3 linked regions of the Coturnix japonica genome follow. The protein of the gene in region 1 binds, or shares a complex with, the protein of each later gene. Links are inferred from orthologs where the notes say so. Each region holds a gene or a part of one and is shown in the gene's direction. Other genes may lie near its edges. The genes, in order: KCNAB2, potassium voltage-gated channel subfamily A member 3-like and KCNA2.

Evidence for each region.
Region 2: the proteins of KCNAB2 (region 1) and potassium voltage-gated channel subfamily A member 3-like are in contact, whole or in part, in a cryo-EM structure (PDB 7EJ2), measured with the Homo sapiens proteins. The link is inferred for Coturnix japonica from reciprocal best matches to the Homo sapiens genes KCNAB2 and KCNA3. Residues at the interface, in NP_001186789.1 of Homo sapiens: Met196, Tyr199, Ser200, Arg203, Glu231, His234, Lys235, Ile236; in NP_002223.3 of Homo sapiens: Pro133, Met137, Phe140, Pro142, Leu143, Asn145, Tyr147.
Region 3: the proteins of KCNAB2 (region 1) and KCNA2 are in contact, whole or in part, in a crystal structure (PDB 5WIE), measured with the Rattus norvegicus proteins. The link is inferred for Coturnix japonica from reciprocal best matches to the Homo sapiens genes KCNAB2 and KCNA2. Residues at the interface, in NP_059000.1 of Rattus norvegicus: Met193, Met196, Tyr199, Ser200, Arg203, Glu231, His234, Lys235, Ile236; in NP_037102.1 of Rattus norvegicus: Asp28, Glu33, Pro62, Met66, Phe69, Asp70, Pro71, Leu72, Arg73, Asn74, Tyr76.

The regions. Positions count from the first base shown.
Region 1 is NC_029536.1:539,959-547,509, reverse strand, and holds the end of KCNAB2 (voltage-gated potassium channel subunit beta-2), read left to right. Parts: intron 1-194; coding exon 195-239; intron 240-541; coding exon 542-586; intron 587-659; coding exon 660-703; intron 704-770; coding exon 771-857; intron 858-1,200; coding exon 1,201-1,245; intron 1,246-2,641; coding exon 2,642-2,727; intron 2,728-2,828; coding exon 2,829-2,949; intron 2,950-3,305; coding exon 3,306-3,400; intron 3,401-3,482; coding exon 3,483-3,603; intron 3,604-3,675; coding exon 3,676-3,764; intron 3,765-3,844; coding exon 3,845-3,934; 3' UTR 3,935-5,531; downstream 5,532-7,551. Other genes in the region: CHD5 (chromodomain-helicase-DNA-binding protein 5), read right to left, coding at 5,896-5,903, 6,007-6,121, 6,228-6,391, 6,606-6,801, 7,124-7,256, 7,424-7,532.
Region 2 is NC_029541.1:1,850,364-1,858,596, reverse strand, and holds the start of potassium voltage-gated channel subfamily A member 3-like, read left to right. Parts: upstream 1-4,180; 5' UTR 4,181-4,351; coding exon 4,352-6,094; 3' UTR 6,095-7,546; intron 7,547-8,233.
Region 3 is NC_029541.1:1,832,015-1,840,113, reverse strand, and holds the start of KCNA2 (potassium voltage-gated channel subfamily A member 2), read left to right. Parts: upstream 1-3,677; 5' UTR 3,678-3,809; intron 3,810-4,487; exon of another isoform or gene 4,488-4,934; intron 4,935-4,970; exon of another isoform or gene 4,971-5,158; intron 5,159-5,230; exon of another isoform or gene 5,231-5,535; intron 5,536-5,660; 5' UTR 5,661-6,896; coding exon 6,897-8,099. UniProt on the Homo sapiens protein: Voltage-gated potassium channel that mediates transmembrane potassium transport in excitable membranes, primarily in the brain and the central nervous system, but also in the cardiovascular system.

The DNA.
Region 1 (7,551 bases):
GCCCTGGTGCTGTGCAATGTGACGAGTGGGCCCACACAGCTGCTTAAAAATAGCAGCTCCCGTTGTTGGGGAGTCCTCCGCTCCCCGCCGCGTCCCAACGCCGCTCGCAGTCACTTCTCATTACTGACGCGTCTCTGACCTAATTCCTGCTCCAGCCTAAAGAGCTCAAGGCTTATGTCTCCCTTTCCTTGCAGGGCTGAGGTCATCCTGGGGAACATCCTCAAGAAGAAGGGCTGGAGGTAGGTTTCACCCCCAGGGTCCGGCATCCCACACTGCTTCACTTTTAGGCAGCAGATTTCCTTAGTAATTGTGATGCTCATGGGCTGGGAGGAGCAGGGAGATAGAGCCCACAGGGTGCAGGGCTCACACATTGCACAAGCACCGGCACAGCTGCCCAGGGTGGCATCCCCAACCCTGGAGGTGTCCAACATGGCGAGGTGGCATCTGGGGATGTGGTCAGTGGGCACAGTGGGATGGGTTGGGGTTGGACTTCCAACTTTAATTACCCTCTGGTTCTATGACTCTGCCCTTCTCCCTGCAGACGATCCAGCCTGGTCATCACCACCAAGATCTTCTGGGGAGGAAAGTAGGTAACACCCGCCCTGCCCCGCAGCGCTGCGGCCGGCAGCAGGCTCCGACTGCCCCTTCTCTTCTTTCAGAGCAGAGACGGAGCGGGGACTGTCCCGAAAGCACATCATTGAAGGTATGGCTGCGGGGTGTGGGGCACGGTGCGGGGCCTGGGCTGCCCTGACTGTGCTGCATGGCTGCAGGTCTGAAGGCGTCGCTGGAGCGGCTGCAGCTGGACTACGTGGACGTGGTGTTCGCCAACCGGCCCGACCCCAACACACCCATGGAAGGTGGGTGCCGCAGTGCGGTTGTGCCACAGTGTTCCTGCCCACGGCTCTGGGGCCACGTCCCTTCTCTCCCCGTTTTCTGCATGGTGTGTGCCTTATTCCATTGCCATCCGTGGGTTGTAACCATGCTTCTTGTGGCAGGCTTTCCTTTGAAAGTGTGTTTCCCACCACAGAGCGTAACCCCTTCAGTTAAAGCTCTGAGCATCCACCCCTCACCCTGTGCCAGGAGCGCGGCCGGGGGCTGCCGTGGTGCTGGGGGAGCGCGGCCCCGTCCCCCGCTGTGCCCTTCGCTGTGACACCGGCGGCTGTAACCTCTGGTCTCTCTACATCTTTCTTTTATCACCAGGGCACCCATTTAGTTCTTCCAAGTCGAGAACATTCATCATAGAAGGTACATCGTACCCGCAGTCTGAACCCCAGTGGCATTTTATGAGACAGAACCCGCATCTTTCATTAATTTTGATTCCTTCCTCCCTCAATAACCCTCTCCATAAAATGCGCGAAGGAAAACAGCAGCAGCAGCCAAACCAAAATACCCCCCTGTCCCCAGAACATCTTGCAAGTGAAGGAACCAAGCCGACAGCTGTGCTCCCATCCCATCCGCTCCGCTCCCCTGCATGGCTCTGGCGATGCGCTTCTGGCGCTGCTTTGGCACTGGGGAGTGCTCAGGACCTGGGTGAAGCCGTCAGTCCTTGCTGCACGCAGCTCTTCCTGCTGTCAGTCTGTCCTCATGCAGAGCACCCTGGGGGCACCGTGTAGCCCAGCACCCGGCTGTACCCCTGTGCCATCCCCCGCTGGACGCAGGACTGGGCATTCTCCATGCGGTCCTGTCCCCCCCCAAGCTGAGCTGCCAGGTCTGGCTGCTGAAGCCTTTGGTTGACACAAAGCTCGTGCTCAAAGCTGGGCTGCACGTGCTGCTGTTGTTAAACCAAACTTTGGCCACGTTCTCCTTCCTACTTCCTTCACTTGGCACGGCATCTTGGCTTGCAACGCAGCCTGCATGGTTGGGAGCAGCCCGGTGCCGGCTGAAGTTGTGGCAGCCCCATCCCCTTCCTCCCAGCATCACTCTGGGACGGAGCAGCGAATCCCTCAGCTCCACATTTCCCACCGCCCTGTTGCACGGTGGGCACAGCAGTTGTGCTTCCAGCCGGGTGGTACCGGAGGGTGTGGAAACATCCACCTGCTTCCCTCCTCCTGCAGCATTTGCAACAAGCACCGTGTGCCAGCGCAGCCCTGGGGATGCCCACCTCCACAGGCCGTGGCACAGCCCAGAATGGGCTACACCTGCAGAACGCTGGGTTTGGGGGGTGATCTCTTTTCTATGTCCTTAAGCCCCGTTTTAACTCATTTCTGTGGTGGAGCACTTTGGGATGAGCTGGAGGTGGCTCCGGCCCCATTGCCTGGGAGCAGTGCTGTGTCCCCGGTGCATCCCTTCCTCAGTGCCCTCTCCTGACCGTCACCTCTCCCAGAGGACCATACTTCTCTTTTTTGTCCCTCCCTCCTCATCTCAGCATAACCACACCGACCTCCACCCGCTTCCATGTGATGCTCTCCGTGTGGTTTGACCTGGGTCTGTTTTCAAGAGATTTGGAAACGCGTTAATTGCGGAGCAGTCTCTCTCTTTCTCTCTCTCCCTCTCGGGTCGATTTCCATTCCCTTTTGGTTTAATTTCCACACCCAACTCCCGCCCGTTTGGCGTTTGGATGTACCCTGCTTGCAAGATGTGCATGGCCCAGCCCCATCCCTGTGCCCTAACGCCCGCCTGCTGCTCTCCCTTCCTCTGGCAGAGACGGTGCGCGCCATGACACACGTCATCAACCAGGGCATGGCGATGTACTGGGGAACGTCACGCTGGAGCTCCATGGAGATCATGGTAGGGGCCACATGTGGGTGGTACAGGGGGTCCTGGAGCCCAAATCCCTGCCCCATGACGATGGGGCCGGTGTGCACTGATGGTGCCGATCCGGGTTGCAGGAGGCGTACTCAGTGGCACGGCAGTTCAACCTGATCCCACCGATCTGCGAGCAGGCCGAGTACCACATGTTCCAGAGGGAGAAGGTGGAGGTGCAGCTGCCTGAGCTCTTCCACAAGATAGGTACCAACCCAGGATCCTCCCCATCCTGCAGCCGTTGGTGCAGGAACACACGAGCTGCTCCCTGGCTGCTGTGCCCCACTCCTGGATGTGCTGCTGGGGTGAAAATGGCACTTTCTGGGGGGAAGGGGGGGGGAAATACAATGCGTCCCTTTCATGTGGATTCTTCTCCTGAGGGCTGTACCCATTGCTCCTCCCTCTCCATCCCCTCCCGTGTGCCCCAGCACCTCCACTCCACTCCTGGCTCCCCAGGCTGGTTCCCCTGCTGCCCCTCCTGCCCTCTGCACCCACGTGCTGCCCAACCCCGGGCTGAAGGCAGCACACAAGGTGGCCAGGTCACTCTGCTCTGCTCTCCCCAGGTGTCGGTGCCATGACCTGGTCCCCGCTGGCGTGTGGCATCGTCTCGGGGAAGTACGATGGTGGCATTCCTCCGTACTCCAGAGCATCACTGAAGGTGAGCACCATGTGGGGATACACGTGCAGGGCTCTCAGGGCTCCTCCTTGGAGCCCCCCCACTCACCTCCCTCCTGCCCCAGGGATACCAGTGGCTGAAGGACAAGATCCTGAGCGAGGAGGGCCGGCGGCAGCAGGCCAAGCTGAAGGAGCTGCAAGCCATCGCCGAGCGCCTGGGCTGCACGCTGCCACAGCTCGCCATCGGTAAGGGGGGTGTTGGGGATGGAGGGGGGGCAGCGGCCGGGCCCTGCTCAGCTCTGCACTCTGCATCCCCAGCGTGGTGCCTGCGCAACGAGGGCGTCAGCTCCGTGCTGCTGGGAGCCTCCAACGCCGACCAGCTGATGGAGAACATCGGAGCCATACAGGTGAGCTGTGCAGCGCTGCAGGTGAATCACTGCAGCGTGATGCGGGGCCGTCCCACACGGCTCTGGGCGCTCCCCTGCAGGTCCTTCCCAAGCTGTCGTCTTCCATCGTCCACGAGATCGACAGCATCCTGGGCAACAAACCCTACAGCAAGAAGGATTACCGCTCCTAGGCGCGCCCCGCCGCGCCGCCCCGCCGCCCGATCGCTTGCTTATGCTTGGATGAAGCAAAGTGGAGAGCGCGGACCGCATCAAGAACAGCACGCCGAGAGTGTAGAGAAACCGTTCCAAACGTCGCTGCAAGAGAACATAACGCTTATTACATAACATTTAATTTGAATGCAAGGAAGCCACCGCCGGGGAGAGCGCCGGGGCTGAGCGCACCCCGCGGCCGGACTCGGAGCCGCAGGGCCGGGCTGGGCGCTGTGCTCGGGGGGCTCCGTGCGTTGGACTCAGCCGGCGGGGGCCGTCCTGGGCGGCGGCTGCGGCCGTTGCATGCGCCTCCCCGCTGCTTCTCTTCTTTACTTTGTGTTTCTGGACATGGAGGCCGTTGGGTGCAGGTGTGCAGGGCTGGATGCTGGCCCAGACCTGAGCCGGGGCTGTAAGAGGCTGCATCGCCACCGACAAAACCAACACCTCCCGGCGCTCCGCTCTGCAGCCCCAGCGCACCGACATGGGGTGGGAGCGAGGGAGGAGAGACGGGGAGGAGAAGAGGGGTGGGCAACGGGAAGCATGAGAGGGGGGGACTCCACACAGCTGGTCTCACCCTCTGTGCAGGGGAAGCAGCACACGCTGCTGAGTGGAGATGGGGAGGTGAAGCACACACCGGGATAGATAAGAGAGAGCTGCAATTGTTATGTGTCTGCACAAACCACACAGAAACACAGAAGCAGGTGTGTGGAATTGCGTATCTACATGCATCCGGAGGTGACTTCCAGATGTGCCACATGTGTTGCACACATCCTGCAAGCACATACACATACATGTATACAGACAGTGTGTGTCCACCCAGCAGCACTTCACCTGGTGCTGCTGCCCAGGGGGGGCTGGCTCCTGGCCCTTCCCTCCCCAAGCATTGTGCTCATCTCCCACCTTGATCCCAGGGCTGGAAGAGCAGAGCTCCCCTCATTGCCAGCACAATAACGACGCTGCTCCCACCTCCTTTTTACAGGATTTATTAAAACACAGAGAACATGAACCAAAACACACAGAGTACAAAGTAAATGTGAGTGTGTTGGTTACAGGTGCCATAAACCTCCTACGAAAGGTCACCACGGTGCAGTATCACAAAATAGCAGCCCACCAGGCACAAAGGCAGCAGTGCAGCCGCCCTCTGCTCTGCTGCAGCAGCCCCCACGACACCCCCCACCCCCACCCAGCTCCAGGCAATTTGTGGCCATAGAGAGGATGGAAGGAAGAAGCAGGAGGAGCACAATGTCCAGCACAGCCCAACCGTGCCCTCCCCACTGCAGCATGGAGAGGGCAGGCTGCAGGCAGAGGGACCCCGGGGCAGGGCTCACTGCAGCCCAGGGATGGGCTGGGAGACTCCTCTCCTCCTCCTCTCTGCTCCCCGTGCTGCAGCAGGGCAGGGCAGGCATGCGCTTGCTCAAACACAAAAAGGACATAAAAATAGAACTTACAGGGAAGCTACTGAACAGGAGTAAGCTTGGCGCCTAACGGTCAGCGTGGAACTGGACTAGAAACAGAGCTTCCAACAGGTCTCCCTTTAACTCTGATACATGTCAATAAAAACAGACATAAATACTGTTATTCTGCATCCCTTCTTAACTCATCCCACACTTCCAGACAAACTCTTCAAGTCTTCAATAAGAAAGTGCAAAAAAAATGTACAAGGAAATGAAATCCCCTCCAGAGAAGTTCTGGTGATGGTCGGGGTCACGTCGGTCAAAGCACACGTGGGGATGAGGGGTGTGAGGCTGCAGCCTCTGCCCACTGCATCCCCATCCCTCGGTGACCATGCGGCTTCTTCTCGGGGCTGGAGAGTGGCCCAGGGGCTGCTGAGGGGACAGACAGGACTCGTGGTCTGCCAGCACACAGCAGCCCAGAGGATGGTCACAGGTGCAGCCTTACCTCGGGTGGGAATGGGAACAGCATTAGGAGATCTTGGAAAGGGCTAAATATCTGTTGGTGAGAGAGAAAACAGCTGCTCATCGCCATCCCTGCTTTGCACTAGAATCTGTCACTTCCATTTCCCTGCTCGGGTCTGTCAGAAGTTTCAACCTACCCGTCACGTAGGGTCCCAGAGGCATCTGACTGTAGTTGACAATCCCACCTGGCCCAGGACCTCGGAAATTCGGCCCGAAGCTGCTGTTGTAGATCTGTGAGGAACCAAAGGAGCCCTGAGGGAATGAGAAGGGAAGCTGGAGCACGGGGAATGCAGCACAGAGAGCTGGGGGGGGACACAGGGCACCCCAAGGCAGCTCTGCACTCCTCCAGCCCACACACCTGCTGGACCGGGGGCTCCCCTCCACGCGTGGTGAGACGGCTGAGGATGCTGCGTTCCGACATCTGCAGCCGCGCAGCCACCGGGGGGATGCGGGACAGCATGGAGGGCAAGCGTGTCACGTCAGCCTTCATGTCACTCAGCAGCTCCTCAAGCTGGTTCAGCACTGCAATGCACACCCGGCACTGCTGACCCTGCAGCGTGGCCCCCAGCACCCCCGTGCCTGCTGTGCTCTGTCCCCATAAGCCCAGAACCCTGTGACCCAACTGAACAAGCATCAGCTCCTCCACCCAGCAATCCCCAAAGCTGGATTTCCCAATGGTCTCATTGAGCACAGCCAACCCCTCCCTGCACCTCCTGCTCTCTACACCCCCACGTACCTTTGTGCAGAACAGCGTTGGCGGGCTTGTTCCCAGCAAGGGACTCTTTGGAGAGGTGCTGGTGGCTTTCAGCAAGGCACTCCACTTCAGCCAGCCGGGCGTTCAATGCCATGGCCGGGTGGCTGGGGTCTTGCGTCATGTTCAGGTACGCTGCCCGTCGCAGCTGCTCCTCTATCACCAGGGCCTGCTCCAGCAGCTGGGAGGCACAGGAGAGCAATGGATCAGGACCAGACCCTGTGCCCATGTGAGCCAGTGCCACCCACATGCCACCACCCTCCCCATCCATCCGACCCCACAGCTCCTGGGTTTGTATCATCTTCCACAGCACTGCCCTGTCCATGTGCCACATTCTGGAGCTAGCAAGTGCTCCTGCTGCTCCAGCCCTGCCCCTCAGGGCGCTGCCTCGCTGCCACTGATGTCTCACAAACATCTGCCGCCTCCTGCTCCGCTCCACCTCGCTGTGGGGCTCTGCTCTGAGCCACCACTAAGGACTCACCAGCCCTGAACCTGCAACTCGCCTTGAAGCGCCGGGCGAGGAACTTGTTCTTCATCTCAAGGTAGTTCCCTTTGTGTATCTCTGACTTGAAGGGCTCGTTCAGGATCACGTAGCGTGGGTCGTTCTGGATGTCCTGCCAGCGGGCATAGCCGTGGCTGCAGCAGAGGGAGCGTCAAGGCAAGAACCAGCCAGCAGGCAGCATTTCTCAGCAACACATCTCCAGCCCCTTTCCCTGCTCCATCACCTCCCTCCCCAATGCCCTCACAGCACAGCCCCCTCCGCCTGGCACGGGGAGGCCATCACCCACAAAGCCAAAGGGTACGTGACAATCCCTGCCAGCAGCCAGTAGTCATGTCTGCGGTGCCAGATGTCATAGATCTTGCTGGAGGAGATGGCAGCTCTTTCCTCATTCTGCCACAGCGTGTGCAGCTCTGCAGAAACAGAAGAGAG
Region 2 (8,233 bases), on another chromosome or scaffold:
CGCGCTGTCTCCATGGATTTGTGGTTAAGTTGCTTTGTGGATGTAATCTTATCACCTAATGACCAAATAATGGCATGCAACAGGAGCTGCGTAAGAAGCCGCTGGATATCATTTTGCTGTCATTGTGAAGGCCTTGGAATGTGATCCCCATTAAAGGGGGAATTTGCATTAACATTGTTTGGCCAACATAATCCCGCCCTTTAATCACATTTTTAGGATATTAAAATAGGCCTGACTCTAGCCTGAATTGTAACCCCTTGGTCCCCAAAGGACTGGATGGGATTGAGCTCCTTCAGCTCCATCACAGCCAATGGAGCCACTGTGTGAAGTCAGCAAGCAATGCAGAGGAATCTGGGGGATCTCTGCCCCATTCTTTGATGGCAGAGTTGGGGTCAAGGGATTTCATTTTCACTTACCCCACCCACTGAGAGCAATGACCCCTCTCTGAAGCCACTCTGCCTCTGTTCACTCTATTGCAACAGAGATACCCCCATGTTCCTGCTGCCTGTTGCATTTGTGCTCAGCACCCTGTTCGGGGTTTACCATCCCCACAGCAGTGAGCTTTGCCCATGTGCCAACAGTGAACCAAACTGCAGCAGTCAGAAAGCTCTGAGTTTTATTTCCCATCTCGAGTTTCAGTTTCTCTCTCATTTTTTTTTTGCAACCGCGAGCTGGGCGAAAGGCTGGCGAGGGATTTAAATAGACTGCAGGTGGGAGGCGAGAAGCGTTCTCCTAATGTACAGAGGAGAAACTGAGGCACGGAGAGACTTGAGGCTCTGCTCCTACGCAGCCAGACGGCTGTGGGTGCATCTCAGAGCTGTTGTGCATCTCTGCTATGAGCCCAAAGGCTGCAGGGTGGTCATTCCTGGCCCAGAGGCAGCCCTGTGCCGCTTCATCCCTAATTGCAGAGCCAATAACTGTAATTAAATCAGGGTTAAGCTGATAGGGAAGAACCAGCTGAAGGTTACGGGGTGAGCAAGTGGCTAAACGTGGCTGCAGGAAGAGGAGCAGAGCGTTGGTGCCCATTTGTTTGCTGTAGCTGTGTGTGACTCTGAGTTAATCATGAGAAGTTGGGTTGATGCTGAAGCCTTATTTACAAGCTTCAGCAGTGGGGAGTGACCCGAATGGCACTGTCAGCCTCTAATGTTGGCAGGGAAATAGGGTTCCTATGGATGTGAACAGCAAAGGTAGGGCAAGGTGAGCTCATGGCTCTGGAACGACAGGAGGAGCCACACGAGTGAGTTAATCGTGTCCCCATGAAGCAGCTGGAGCTTTGTGTGTTCCCTGCTGTGAGAGGAGAGACAATACATTTATGGTGCATTAAGGTATTATTGTAACAGCGTTAGCGCTGAAAGGTTTCTGATCCTCAGGAATAAAGAGTAGCAGATTTGTCCCAGATTTATCAATGGAGGCAGGGTTCCCATTCAGACATGAGGGAGGGCAGGGCTCCAACACGTGCTGGCAGCACGGCTGCAGGATGCACAGCTCTTGTGGCAGGCACAAGAGGATGCTTGAGATGGGCAAGGCTTCAAGGCAGGGGACCAAAGGCTGGGAGCAGTGGGGGGTTGGAATAATGGTTCCATACATGGGAGGGGTCTGTAAGGGTTCCTCTATGGTTGTGGGTGAGGTGAAGCTGTGCCCCCTCTGCCCCAAGAAGGCCACGAAAGGAAGAAAGGAGCTGTGCTGGCTCAGCTGCTTTGCAGGAGCTGCAGCTGATGCTGCAGGTCAGCCTGTAGATCATTGCACAGGGGAGTTTCCTGAATGGCTGTTAGGAATCAAATTGAATTTGTCAAGTCCAGATTCAAGATTAGAATTGGACGGAGAAGCAGAGAGGATCTCGCAGGAGGAGGAGGTGGTGGCCATCCTGCATTAAACAGAAAAGCCACAGCCTGGAGGAGCACATTTAGTGCTGTGCTTTGCAGGAAGGTGTTGAGGGCACCGCAGGGGTGTCCCTTCTCATGGACTCCTATCAGCATTGCTGTAACCGTGCTCAGTCTCACCCTGTGACCGTGCTTGTGCCTCTTGGTTTGGGGCACAACATTGCCTTGCTTGACCAGCTGGGGCCAGCGGCAATGGCCCCGCAGCAGCCCTGCCTGCAGCGAGCTGCTGGCCTGGCAGAGCTTAATTAGATTTGATGGGATTAGGTGGAAGCAGCGGAGGGGAAAACAGGGCCAGGAGGCCACGCGGTGCCTGGGGCAGCTGGGCTGGAGCCGCAGATCTCCAGGCTGATCTAAAGCAGCCGGTAGCTGAGGGGTTAATTCCTGCTGCTGCACTGAGCTGATGGGGACAACTCGATCCTGGTTGCAAGGGAAGGGATTTTCCTCTCTGCATCCCAAAGGTACGCAGCTCTCTGCAGAGCTGGCACTGATTTCCAGTGAGTTTCCCCCCCCCCCGACTGAGAGCTGGAGTAAACTGTTGCAGTTATGGAAGTTACGCCTTGTTGCCTCGAGCCTTTTGTCATCAATAAATGTTTATAGTACGAAGCAGCCTTGTTTGTTTGCCTTCGACCAGATGACAGTGATTTACTGGCAGAAATCCTAGCAGAGGAAAGAGATGAGCCAGACAAGTCCTTAAGTAAGTGCTACACACATGTATGGAGGGAGCAGATGATGCTCTGTTGTATGATCATGAAACCCATAGAGAGCAGAGCTCAGATTTTGGATGTGAACTGTCATTTCCAGGAGTGTTTTGCAGCCTTTGAGCAACCAAGTGTGAATGATGTTTGGTTCTCACTCTGTCCAGGTTGGGATAGGTGGGAGGTGCTGAGTGTTGGGTTCTTCTGCTGTTAGTTACAGTAGAAATGATGAGAGGGAGAAGCTGGACTCCTGTTGCCCGACTCCCTCATCATGGGTGATGTGCAGCCACGAGCAGGACGTGAAGCTAAGGATGGAGGTGACCATAAGAACATAAATCCATGCAGGGCAAGGTGCCACGGCCTGGAGATGGGTGTCCCCTGTTGCTGCTGCAGCAACAAGTGTAGTGGCCTCAGCCGCAGCATAGAGCAGTTCTCTATGGTGGGTCCCTCCTTCTGGGCACCTCCACCACTTTTGGGGGCAGAAGGTTTGGGGTTATTTTGCCCCCTACCAGCTCTATCAGCAAAATGAGGAAGGGAAGCTGGGCTAGCTCAGATCTGTTCCCATTTACAGTTTGGGCTCGGCTCCTACAGCAATATTTATTGCTGTTTTCCCCCATAGGTTTGTATATTTTGTACAGCTTGTTTCTAATTTCAAGTATAAATAAGTTTGATCTTTTCATCTGCTTTTTTTTTCCCCCTCTCCCTACCTTCTGGAGGCTGTGCTGGTTAAAAATAACAGCAGCAAGGAGCTGCAGCGGGGCTGATGGTGAGGATTTCACCTCCTCTGCAGTGGGGCTGTCGGGGTGGGATGGGATTGGGATGCCCTTAACACATCCCTGACCCATGTGGTCAATGTGGTCAGGCTCCTTCCCCAGCCAGGAACCCCCTGAGTTCCCAGAGCCTCATGGCTCATGGCTGAGGATAGGAGTGCTCCTGGAGAGTGACCAATAGGGTTTGGGACCTATTGAGGGGAGGGTTGCCCTTGGGTTACCCCTCTGTGCAAGTCTTGTGGGGATGGAGTGATTGCCAGCATTGGGATCCTGCAGGGAAGGCTTTCTGCAGGAAAAACAAAGTCCTGTTTGACCAAAAGTGAACTATTTGTCTGAAAAGACTGATTGAGAAAAGCCTTCCAGCTTCCTTGCAGGAAAGACTGCGACTGCCTGTACTGAGGGCTGAGCCAGCTTCTCTTCTCCATTGATTTTGCTGTGGGGTTGCACACGCACACTCAAGACACACACATGAACACGTGCACTCATGCACACTCATGCACACTGGCTTATGTGCACACACATGAACATACACACATGAATGCACATGCATGCACACAAGCATCCACATATGCACACATGCATGCACATAGGCGTGCAAACACACGTGTATGTGCACATACATAGACACACACACACATACACACACACACACGCCCTGCCTTGCAGGACTCCCCCCGCCGCTCTCAGCCCCAGCAGCCGCCGGCTGTTCCCCGCCCGCAGTCACCCCGCACCCCGGGCACAGCTCGAGCCGCTCCGGGGGCTCCGGGGGTCCCCGAGCCGGGCGGAGCCGGGGGGGGTGGGTTCGGGTAGCGGCGGGGCGAGGCGGTGCCAGCGCTGGGGGCGGACTTTTTGAGCGCAGCCCGGCGCCGCTCAGAGCCGCGGCAGCCGGGAGCGGGGCGGCTGCTTCTCCCTCTCCGCCCCGAGGAGGAGGAAGAGGAGGAAGAAGAGGCTCCGACCGCCGCCTCGCCGCTCCTCTCACCCTTTCCCCCTTCCTCCCCACACCTTTATGGACGAGCGCCGGAGCTTGCTGCACTCTCCTGCCGCCTCCTCCGCCGGCCGGCCCCCCAGCAGCAGCCACCACAACCTGGGCTACACCGAGCAGCCGCCCCCCGGCGCCCCGCAGCCGCTCCCCGGCCACGAGGAGGAAGAGGGCGAGGAGGCGGAGGAAGGCAGCATGACGGTGGTGGGGGGCTCCGGGGACCCTTTGCCGGAGGAACCGCAGCATCCGCACCCATTGCTGGGGGGGGAACGCTACGAGCACCCCGCGCCGCCCGCCGCCGGTCCCGCAGGGCACACCACGGAGGTCAGCGGAGAGCACGAGTGCTGCGAGCGGGTGGTGATCAACATCTCGGGGCTGCGCTTCGAGACTCAGCTCAAAACGTTGGCGCAGTTCCCCGAGACGCTGCTGGGGGACCCCCGCAAAAGGATGCGGTACTTCGACCCCCTGCGCAACGAGTATTTTTTCGACCGGAACCGGCCCAGCTTCGACGCCATCCTCTATTACTACCAGTCGGGAGGGCGCATCCGACGACCCGTCAATGTCCCCATTGATATCTTCTCCGAAGAGATCCGTTTCTACCAGCTGGGGAAGGAGGCCATGGAGCGCTTCCGGGAGGATGAGGGTTTCATCAGAGAAGAGGACAAGCCCCTTCCCCACAACGAGTTTCAGCGCCAGGTCTGGCTCATCTTTGAGTACCCTGAGAGTTCCAGCTCAGCCCGGGCCATCGCCATTGTCTCCGTCTTAGTCATCTTGATCTCCATCGTCATCTTCTGCCTGGAGACTCTGCCTGAGTTCAGAGATGACCACGACTATGAGGGAACCGGGGGGACCTTTGGGACGGGTGGTGGCCCTCTCCCACCTGATGTCTTCACCAATTCCTCGTCCTCGGCCGTTTCCATGGTGTCGTCCTTCACAGACCCTTTCTTTGTGGTGGAGACACTGTGCATCATCTGGTTCTCCTTTGAGCTGCTGGTGCGTTTCTTTGCCTGCCCCAGCAAGGCCACCTTCTCCAAGAACATCATGAACATCATTGACATTGTGGCCATCATCCCCTACTTCATCACCCTGGGCACTGAGATGGCTGAGAGGCAAGGCAATGGCCAGCAAGCCATGTCCTTGGCCATCCTCCGAGTCATCCGCTTGGTGCGGGTCTTCCGGATCTTCAAGCTGTCCCGGCACTCCAAGGGGCTGCAGATCCTGGGTCAGACACTCAAAGCAAGCATGAGGGAGCTAGGTCTCCTCATCTTCTTCCTCTTCATTGGGGTGATCCTCTTCTCCAGTGCTGTCTACTTTGCTGAGGCTGATGACCCTGAGTCTCATTTCACCAGCATCCCTGATGCTTTCTGGTGGGCTGTGGTGACCATGACCACTGTGGGCTATGGGGACATGTACCCCATGACAATTGGGGGCAAGATCGTGGGCTCCTTGTGTGCCATCGCGGGGGTGCTGACCATCGCCCTGCCCGTGCCTGTCATAGTCTCCAATTTCAACTATTTCTACCACCGGGAGACAGAAGGTGAGGAGCAAGCCCAGTACATGCATGTCGGGAGCTGCCAGCACCTTTCGTCTACTGAAGAGATGAGGAAGGCACGCAGCAATTCCACCCTCAGCAAATCTGAGTACATGGTGATAGAGGAGGGGGGAATCAACCACAGTGCATTCAAACAGGCTGCCTTTAAGACAGGCAACTGCACAACCACAAACAATCCCAACTGTGTGAACATCAAAAAGATCTTTACGGATGTTTAATAAACACAGAGCGGCGGCGAAAGCTGAGGACGTGGTTAAAAAAGAATAATAATAATAACAATGATGCAAAAGTGACCGTGTGTACTTGGTGTTGTGTGGAACATGCACCATCGTCCGTCTGTCTGCGCCCTTGTTTTTTATACGTTTATTTTTGTAGATCTTTTGGGGTTTTTTTGTTTCCTTTCTAAAGATCCGAAAGGGATTTAATCTTCTCCAAAGAAAAGAGGACGGTCGATGGGGACGGAGGAGGAGAACGAAGACAAATGGCACCGCTGGAGCAGGTGTCTGTTCTGCAACGTGTTGCGGGGCTGCCTTTGTTTCCTGGCTTTTGGGGACGTCTCGCTTTGCTCCTGGTTTGCTCCCCCCTTCCCTGCAGGCGGTGCGGAGCCCATTTCCCTTCCATCTCATAAGCTCACTTGTTGGATTAACGGCCCCGGATTGGGTGGGGAGATGAGGAAAACATGTTGCCGAGCTCTGGAAGGGGGCTGGGAGGAAACAACCCTTTCATTTCGCACAGTCCCCGTTACCACGTTGTTACACAGCGCTCAGTGCTGGGAGGTGGTGTTCCCTTAGGGACGCACCGCAGATCCCCTTTTCTCCCCCTATAGATCATTCTTGTCTGATCAGAAGCCGAATGCAATCGGTTCAAACTAAAACCCAACCCTCTTATTTTCCACCCTTCCCTTGCAGCCCTGGGCATGATTTCACCCAGCGCAGGGTCTGTGGGTCCGTGTGCTGTGTTGGGCAGAGCGGGATGGGGTGGCTGCATGAGGGCTGTGATTCCGAGCTGCCGAGCTGCAGACAAAGGGATGTTTCCACCTTTTCCACCGCGTCTGGGAGAGATGCAGCTGCTTATGGCAAGGAGATTAAAGTGGTGAGCACGCCTTCCAGCGGAAGTCACTAATTCGGACCGGAGTGATGCAGTTGCTATGGCCACCCTGGTTTCCTGGGAAACCCCAAAAGGTTGTCATGGCATCCCTTCTCCCATCCCCCCCTCGGCCCTCACCCTTCCCTCCAAAGCCCTTCCAGATGGTTCCAGCCCCACCACCCCATGGCTCTGTACCGCACGGGGATCCCATCCTGCACCCCCATCCGTGCCCCATCCTGCAGCCCATCCCCGCAGCCAAACACCCACCCGTAGGCAATAAGCACTCCCCACATCCCCCTCTCCCTCTCAAAGGAGTTCACACCTTGGCGGTGAGATTTGGGAGCCTGCAAATATGAGTGGAGAAAGGACCGCCTTCACCTCACCTGGAGCAAAACCCCAAAGTGTCCTCCAAGGGCAGAAATGAAAGCTCAGCCATGAAAGCTCAGCAGCCTTTGGAAACCATGGGGACAAATGCAGAGCTAGAAAGAGCAAGAATGCAATGTAAGCCCAAAGTCGCCAGGGAAAATGTGCCTCCTTCATCCTTCTGTGCACACCGGGGGCTGCAGGACATCTGATGGGATCAGGTGAGCTTTGCAAGGGGGGGAGAGGTTTTCTTTTGCATCATTGCTTTTTGGAACAAACCTCGTGTTTCCTTCTGCATGGTGTCGTTTTCCAGCTCCCCTTGGTGTGTTTTTTGTGCACTTTGGGTGTCATGGGAAGGCAGCATCCTCTGATTCTTTGTGCTTCTCACTTTGCTGCACACTGAGCTCTGGGTGAGCAGTGCTGGGGTAAAGCTGTGCTGTTCTGTGCAGGGATCTGTCCAAAACTGTGCAAAAAATGAGAGTTGTGTCAGTGTTTTGGTGCTTTGGGTTGGTCCACAGTGGGGCTGGTGGGGCTGTGTTGTGTCCCAGTTGGCTTTGGGGTAAGAACAAAATGATCTGTCAGGTGAGGAGTGCACAGGAATGCCAGCAAAGACAAAGGACACCTGGAGCCCAACCTGGCTGAGTTGTGTGTTTCCTGAGGGGATGGAAGGGAGGTTTTTGACCATGCTGGAATTGGGAATTTTGCTGGGAATTCCCTCAGGCTTTAAAAGGATTGGGACAGTTTGTGTCACATCACGCTGCCCTTCAGCCCCAGCACCCCAACCAGTGAATAAAACACTCCAAACCAACAGGAAACATCCGAGCAGCTTCTTCACTAATGGCATCTGACGGCTTTATTGGAGCTGCAGCAGTTTCCCCAGCAGAGAATCTACCCCAACCATGGTGAGG
Region 3 (8,099 bases), on another chromosome or scaffold:
GGGGAGGGTTACCATAGAAACAGGGAAGTCTGTCTAGTCCCAAAAGAGGGGGTGGGAGAGGAAGAAATAGTAAATACGGCAGCGAGGTGATGGAGAGGATGCTGCAGGGCAGCAGGCAGAGCTCTGCCATCACCCAGTGTGGGCATGGCACCTCGTGTCCTGCCCAGCATCACTGTGCCTGTCACCTCCCCATGCCAGCAGGACCTGGACCAGGGATGATCTTGCAAGGTTGCAGTGATGGAGCATCTCCCTGGGAAGTGAGAACACGATTAATTCCTACCTCATCCCACAGTGTCTTGTAGGAATTTTCCACCCTAACAAAGCCATCTCCGGGAGGGTTCTTGTAGTGATGGAGCTACACTGGTGGCTTTGGCTTGGCAGGAAGATGAAGGAAACAAGGTGGAGTGGGTTGGCATAGCATGGAATCTGGCATGGAACAAGGTTTGTCACTGCTTGCTCTCTGGCTTGGCGTAGCCATAACTGGGCTGGACCCATCCAGTGCCTTCTTGTGGATGAAACCACGACTGTGCCCATGGTGCCACTGTGCCCACAGCCACTGAGCCCTGGGGAAGGTGCTCCCCAGCTGAGCAGCCCGAGCCCTCATCTCTCCCTGCAGCATCAGTGTGTGGTAGGACAAGAGAATAGAAATCAGAGCCCTTTTCCTCCTGCCTTGTCTTTTCCTTCCCATGGAGCATCGTTTGTGGCCATGTCAGTGGAAAACATCACAGTTGGGTTCTCCCAGCACCCACCGTACAGCAGGGGCAGATAGACAGGGAGGCACACAGATGTTATGCAGCACTTGAGGATGGGATGGGATGAGAGAAGAAGAAGGATGGGATGGGATGGGATGGGATGGGATGGGATGGGATGGGATGGGATGGGATGGGATGGGATGGGATGGGATGGGATGGGATGGGATGGGATGGGATGGAGTGGAATGGGATGGAATGGGATGGAATGGAATGGAATGGAATGGAATGGAATGGAATGGAATGGAATGGAATGGAATGGAACATTCCAAGCTAGAAGAGACCACAAGGAACATAGGGTCCAGGAGATGAAGTCACCTAAGGTCACCTACCCACTGCCCCAAGGCAGAGACAACCTGTCTGCAGGTTTTTGCTATCTCCACTGCAGGCATCTCCCATCTCCCCTTATTGTTCTCCCTAAGCTCAGTTAGTTCTGTTTCCTTGCTATTTCGGTGAGCATCGTCCTTCCTAAAGCTGGAGTAGAAGTGATGCTCCACTGAACACATGAGAGAGGTCTGCTTCAGACCCGAGGAAAACAAATCATTGGAGGAAAATGAGGCATGTGGGAAAACTCATCACTTCTGTTGCATCTCCCACGGGGTCAGACAGGGAGCTCTGGTGTTCAGCAAAGCTGGCTGGCAGCAACACAGAGAAAAGCACTTTTGGAGCCCTGCAGCAGCTCAGTCTCGTGGTGTCTGGAAGGACTTGAGGATGGAGGAACACAGCTGGGTCCCCTCAGCTGCCCCCAGCCAGCTCAGGGGGATGCGGTGGCTCAGCTGATGCCTTCATAAAGGCCCAGCCCTGGGGAGGAACATGGGGGGGTTATACACAGACAAGTGTGGGGAGCATAATGCTGGCTTGGGAGCAGGACAGATTCCTTCCCAGAGCTGAAAGCAATCGTGCCTGTCTCGAAGGAAGCTATTGATTTCCTTTCTTCTCACTAATTTGGCTTGTCCTGTCCTTTTTGTTGGTTCAAGTCAAAGAAAGAGGCTATAAGAACCTTTTAGCCAGAGTGGCCGGAGCTGCCGCTCGCCCTGCGCCATGGCTCCATTAGCAATCCTGCAGCAGCCTGCTATGAAATATTCACAACCTCAATGGGCTCCAAAGACCTCAAGAACTGAAGTTCTACACCGTGTTTCAGTTGGGCAAAATGACTTTTTGTTTTCAATGAACAGCTCTCAGGCAATGCAGTCTTTGCTGGTTCTGCTCTGGGCTGAGCGATGCATCAACACAACAGCCTTCATCAAACGAACATTCAAGGTGGAACCTGGAGTTATTTTCTTTAAATAACCCCATATTTTTAATTTGGGAAACACCACAGAGGGAGAATGTATGTGATTTGATCTTTGCAGGTGGGTAATATTGGCTGGGTTCCCTTTGGCCATGCCTTGCCAAGGGACAGTGGGTCTTCCCAAGGATCAGGAGCTCATTGTAGGATCAGGAGACCTTCCCATGGGCTCAGCTGCCCCAGAGACCATAACATGGCCCCATAGTGCTCCCCCAACATGTGTCACCTTGTTCCTTGGCTGCCTCCATCTTCAGACCCTGTTCCATCACATCAGGGTGTCCCAATTCAGAAAGGTATACATTCCATTTGGATAACAGAAAGAAACCAGTGGGAATCTCTATATATTTTCATGACAATATTAATGCAAAGGTGTCAGCCATTGAAACACATGTAAATCAGACAAGTAGGTGCAGTGTATTGACTCGCTGCGTTCTCCAAAGCACTGAATTACATCTTGAGTTGTCAGCGTGGCAGAGGGAGGCGGGTGCAGATGTACACATTATAATAATAGCTCCACAATTAGGGTAGTAAATCAGAGAGCATCACTCAATTCAGAGAGGTTTCCTCCGTTTGCTACAGGCAGGATTGGAGCTCTTTGTAAGGAGATGCTTCTGCTGATACGAAAAGCCCCACTGGTTGTGCAAAGCCTTGGCAAGGCAGCAGTGGGAATAGCAGCTTAGAAATTCAGCTGCGCTTGAATCTCTCAGCCTCAGTTTCTACACGTTGCATAAGTATCAGCCTTGGGCATCTTGTTGTCTGGATTCTGCCCACCCTGCTATGGCAGATCTAGCTCAGAAAAGGCTGAAACAACATAGGGAAAAATTAAAACCCCTCTTCCCAAGTAGCCTCATACCCAGAGTGTGTGTGTGAGCCCCACTTTGCCATGGAAATTCATGTTCAGCTGAGGCTCAGGGAAACATGGGTTAACCCCACCATGCCCCCACACCTCCCAGGGCATCACCCACAGCACTGATTTTACTGGGCTTCCAGGGTGAGCCCTGCAATCCCCTCCAGCAGCATAAGCACCTCACAGTCTGACTGCTGCATATGGGAACTGAAATGCTTCCATCACCTCCCCCAGTGTTTGCTGGATGCTGGGCACCCTGCAGTCCTGGTGCTCTCCTTGGATGGTCATAGCAGAACAATCCAAGGCTGAGCCAAAGCGTTTTGTGCCAGCTTTGTTGTGTGCCTGCCCCCCCCCCCCCTCCTTTAGGATGGGGTGATGTCTCCATGTGCAGGTCTGCAAAAGCAGGCTGACATAAAACAACTGCTCTAGGGGTGATGGAGAAGAGGGGATGGTGTGGGTGCATCGCTCACATTGTGTCCAGCTGAGCTGCAGCCTATGGGGCAGCACAACATCCTCACCCCAAACATTGGCATCGTGGCCCACAGGAGCCTGATCCTGCCCCATTGCCTCCCCCAAAGCCGCGCAGAGCTGCTGCAACCCCAGATCTCCCCATGCAGATCCAGGCTCCAACACAAACGTGGTACGCTCAGAGCCGCCCGCTAAAGCAGCAGCATCGCGCATCCAGGGATATGATTATTTCCCAGTGGTTGAAATCTAGGTCTCTTGCTTGGGAGGAGGGAGGGGGGGGAGAGAGATGCTCATATTAATCTTATGAATATTCATTGAGAAGCTCTGTTGCCTTCGGAGCTTTGCTCCCAGGAGCCCGGGGCGAGTTTCAGGGCCAGCAGCGCAGGTGAAGGTGCTGCCAGCAGAGCGGAGCGCGGCTGTTTGTGCATTCGCTGCATGCCTGACTGCAGAGCCAATTGTAAGTTGGTGCCTTTTTCTCCCCCCCACCCCCCTCCACCTCCCCTCCCCGCTGTCTCTGCTGAAATAGCGGCTTGCCACAAGCTGTGAAATGGAGGCTTGGCGTTTTTGTTTTGTTTTTTTTCTCGGTTGCAAAAGGGAAAGCAAACGCCTCGACCTTGTCCTCGAGGCTGCCCGAAATCCCAGCGCTCTGACAGACGGCCATGGCTCGTGCCTGCAGCGAGCTCGCCTTGTGCCTGCAGTGACAAACCGGGCTCTTGTGGTTGATTTCTATCGCCTTCTTCCTGCCCTTGCAGCCCCCAGATTTGCATGAACGGAACCCGAAGACGGGGTGGGGGTGGGAGGAGGTGTTTGGTTCTGAGCAGGACAGAGTGTGATGGGGAGAAAGTAGCAGAAATTGAGTGCTGGAATCTGTGATGTCAACTCAGATGATGCTGTAACCGTCTCAGATCAGCAGCAGAATCACCGCTCGGGTCTGGGATCAGAGAGAGGAGCCCAGACCTCATGCTAAATTATAATCAACATGTTAAACAATGAGCAAATGTCCGCACTGCTGAGCAAACCTGGGGTGTTTTGGGCAGGGAGGAAGGGGAGGAGGGAGTTTAGGGGCAGGAGAAGAAATGCATGTTGGAAAAAAATCATCAAGGTTGGTTGATTTGGAGGTTCACGTTGTGGCTGCAGCAGGTGGATGCTGCTCGTGGTGTTCTGCTGTGATGCTCACAGGAGCCAAAGGAGGTTAAACCCAGCGGGGCTTTGGAGTGGGGCTGAAAGGAGAAAAACTGGGACAAAAACCAGCTCCTCTCCTCTGGGCCTGGTAGAAAAGGGTTAAGCGAAGCCGTTGGATGCTGCAAGCCTTGTCAGGGTTGTACTATTTTTTCTAGTGCATAAGGAGAAGGGAGAGGAGGGTTGCACGGGAAGGGGAAATTTCCAAGAAAAGAAGGATCTGCAGCAATATCTGCACCCGAGGTGATGAAGAGAGAAACCAACAGGCGTACATGGCCTGCGGGAGGCTGAAATCTTTACCGAGGAGGCTCAGACCGCGGGGTTATTTTCCACCTGCCTCCCCTCCCCGGTTCTGTAATCCTGGCTCAAAGTAGACAAGTCGAGTTGCAGCCGAAGAAGGGAGGTTAGAGGAATTGTTGTTATTTTTTTTTTCTTTGGGAGGGCAAAAAAAAACCTGAAAAACAAAAAAGAGACCGGGGGGGGAAAGGAGAGTTTGGATGGATCGCTGCTGCTCGAGCATCCCATGGGGCGGTCTGATGGAGGAGCAGAGGCTGATGCAGGGATCGGAGCCCCCCCAGCGTCTCCCTGAGAATTGTAGCCCCACCGGAGTGGAATCCCCACGGGGGGGTGGGTCGGCTGGGGGTTGGCTTTGGGGAGGATGGAGAGGGTGGGTGCGGGTCGCGTGGGTCTCACGGCCGGGGATGCTCAGGGGGGAGCATGGAGGAGGGGATACCGACCAGCTCTTCGTCTCACCGATGAAAACGGAGCCCCCCGAGCCCCCCGCGGAGGCAGCGCGGTGCCGTAGGGACCGCCGTCCCCGGGGCGTTCGGTGCGGCGCCGCAGAGCATCGCTGTGCCGGGGGCTGCGGCGCTCCCCCTCCGCCCGCCGCCTCCTCCCCTCGCTGCCATCGGGCGGCCCGGCCCCACCGCCCGGAGCGGAGAGGAGAAGAGAGAGACGCGGTTCTGTTTTTTTCCGCTCTCCCCTCGGCTCGTGTTGCAGTGCAGGTTAGCGAAGCGTCGGGATAACAGCTGGCGGGGAGGAAGCGGCGCTGCCCGGAGGAATCGGGGGCTTTGCGGACGCTGCCTCCAAAACCCCCGTTGGCTTTCTACCTTCTCGCTGTTTTTTCCAGGCGATGCCACACCTCCCGAGGACACCGGGGACATCGGGTTTTGCTGAGCTTAGCACCTTCCCCCCGCCGTACCGGAGGCATCAGACAGACCCTGCTCTGCCCTGAAGTGCGGACCTGCAACAGCTCCGGGAGGACTTCTGTCCCTCTGTCTCTTTCTCTCTCTCTTTCTCTCTCTCTCTCCAGTCCAAACCATTCCAAGACCCGACTTCCACCATCTGGAAATCTCACCCCTTTTATGTCCCTTCTCCTTTTCTACGATGACTCACCATTATTTTTAACTTTGAAGAGAGAGGAAATTATGGGGATCTTGGAAGCCTGTATTCCTCTCTAGGATTTCCCCAGGGGTCAGATAATCGGTCTTACTAAGAGACACTAAGATTTGGCTTCTCCAGGTAATGTGATTTGTTTTCTGTGTGCCATGGCGCTTTGCAGAGAATGAGAGCAGCCGGGACACCAGCGGTCGAGGAGGGGGACTGCAGTGGTCCGCGGGCAGCTTGCATCCAAATTCAGGCAGCAGAGCCCAGCTCGGGGCGGGCAGTGCAGCACCCGCGGCCCTATAGCCGGGGCAGGAGGATGGGGACGGTGCCGAAGTTAAAGCGGAGCCGTTAGGGCTACCTGGAGGGTCGTGCCGGATTGCCTGCTGTAGAACCTTAGAATAATCTATGCACGGTTGAATGTTAACCCTTAACTGCATGCCTGGAAATGAGCCGAGCCCGCACTGCCCCGCGGGTCCCTTTACCGCTATAGGGCTGGTTGGGGTTTTGCTTCCTTTCTCTTCCCTTCCCCCTCCTGCTTTTTTCTCCCCTCTTATGAATTATTATTTTTAACCATAAAACCCAAAATGTTCTGCTTTGTCAAGGCCGGTTTTTCTATGCCGGTTGTGAATAGATGAAGGTTCCTCAGGTGTTTCCTCCCTTCTGCCTAATGGCTTTAGATGGGAGTTTTGAACTCTGATTAACTCCGATTAACCCCCCTGAGGACGGAGGTAGGCAGCGGTAGTGCAGGGAGCCGCTCTCCTCCCCCCAACTTTACTTCATCTCTCTCTTTCTCAGCAGGGGCAATTTTCTTTCCTTTTTTTTTTTGTTTTCTCCTGTTTTATCATCCCTTCGCCTTTTCATGAGACACTTCCACACCTACGTACCTGTCCTTCTGCAGGATAGTAGCCTTGCCCTGAGTCCGATCCCACCACCGGGCACTCGGAAGAGTTTAGCATAAGGATTTTCTTTCAACCCCAATATGACAGTTGCTACCGGAGATCCTGCAGACGAAGCTGCAGCTCTTCCAGGTCACCCACAGGACACGTACAACCCCGAGACCGACCATGAATGCTGCGAGAGGGTGGTCATTAACATCTCAGGGCTGCGCTTTGAGACCCAGCTCAAAACGTTAGCTCAATTTCCGGAGACTTTGCTAGGAGATCCTAAAAAGAGAATGAGATATTTCGACCCTCTCCGGAACGAGTATTTCTTTGACAGGAACAGACCCAGCTTCGATGCTATTTTGTACTATTACCAATCTGGAGGGAGGTTGCGGAGGCCGGTTAATGTGCCCTTGGACATCTTCTCAGAGGAGATTCGTTTCTATGAACTGGGGGAAGAAGCCATGGAGATGTTTCGGGAGGACGAAGGCTACATCAAAGAAGAAGAGAGACCGCTGCCAGAGAATGAGTTTCAAAGACAGGTCTGGTTGCTCTTCGAGTACCCTGAGAGCTCTGGCCCTGCCAGGGTCATAGCTATTGTCTCTGTCATGGTGATCTTGATCTCCATCGTGAGCTTTTGCCTGGAAACATTGCCCATTTTTCGGGATGAGAATGAAGACATGCACGGCAGCGGGCTGAGCCACCCTCCCTACTCCAACAGCAGCACGGGGTACCAGCAGTCGACCTCTTTCACAGACCCCTTCTTCATCGTGGAGACGCTTTGCATCATCTGGTTCTCCTTCGAGTTCTTGGTGAGGTTTTTCGCCTGTCCCAGCAAGGCTGGATTTTTTACCAACATCATGAACATTATAGACATTGTAGCCATCATCCCCTACTTCATCACCTTGGGGACGGAGCTGGCTGAGAAGCCAGAGGATGGCCAGCAAGGCCAGCAAGCCATGTCCTTGGCCATCCTCAGAGTCATCCGCCTGGTCAGGGTCTTCAGGATCTTCAAGCTCTCCAGGCACTCCAAGGGGCTGCAGATCCTGGGGCAGACCCTCAAGGCCAGCATGCGGGAGCTGGGTTTGCTCATCTTCTTCCTCTTCATCGGCGTCATCCTCTTCTCCAGCGCCGTCTACTTCGCCGAGGCCGACGAGAGCGAGTCCCAATTCCCGAGCATCCCCGATGCCTTCTGGTGGGCCGTGGTTTCCATGACGACTGTTGGCTACGGAGACATGGTCCCCACCACCATCGGGGGGAAAATCGTGGGGTCCCTGTGTGCCATCGCTGGTGTGCTAACC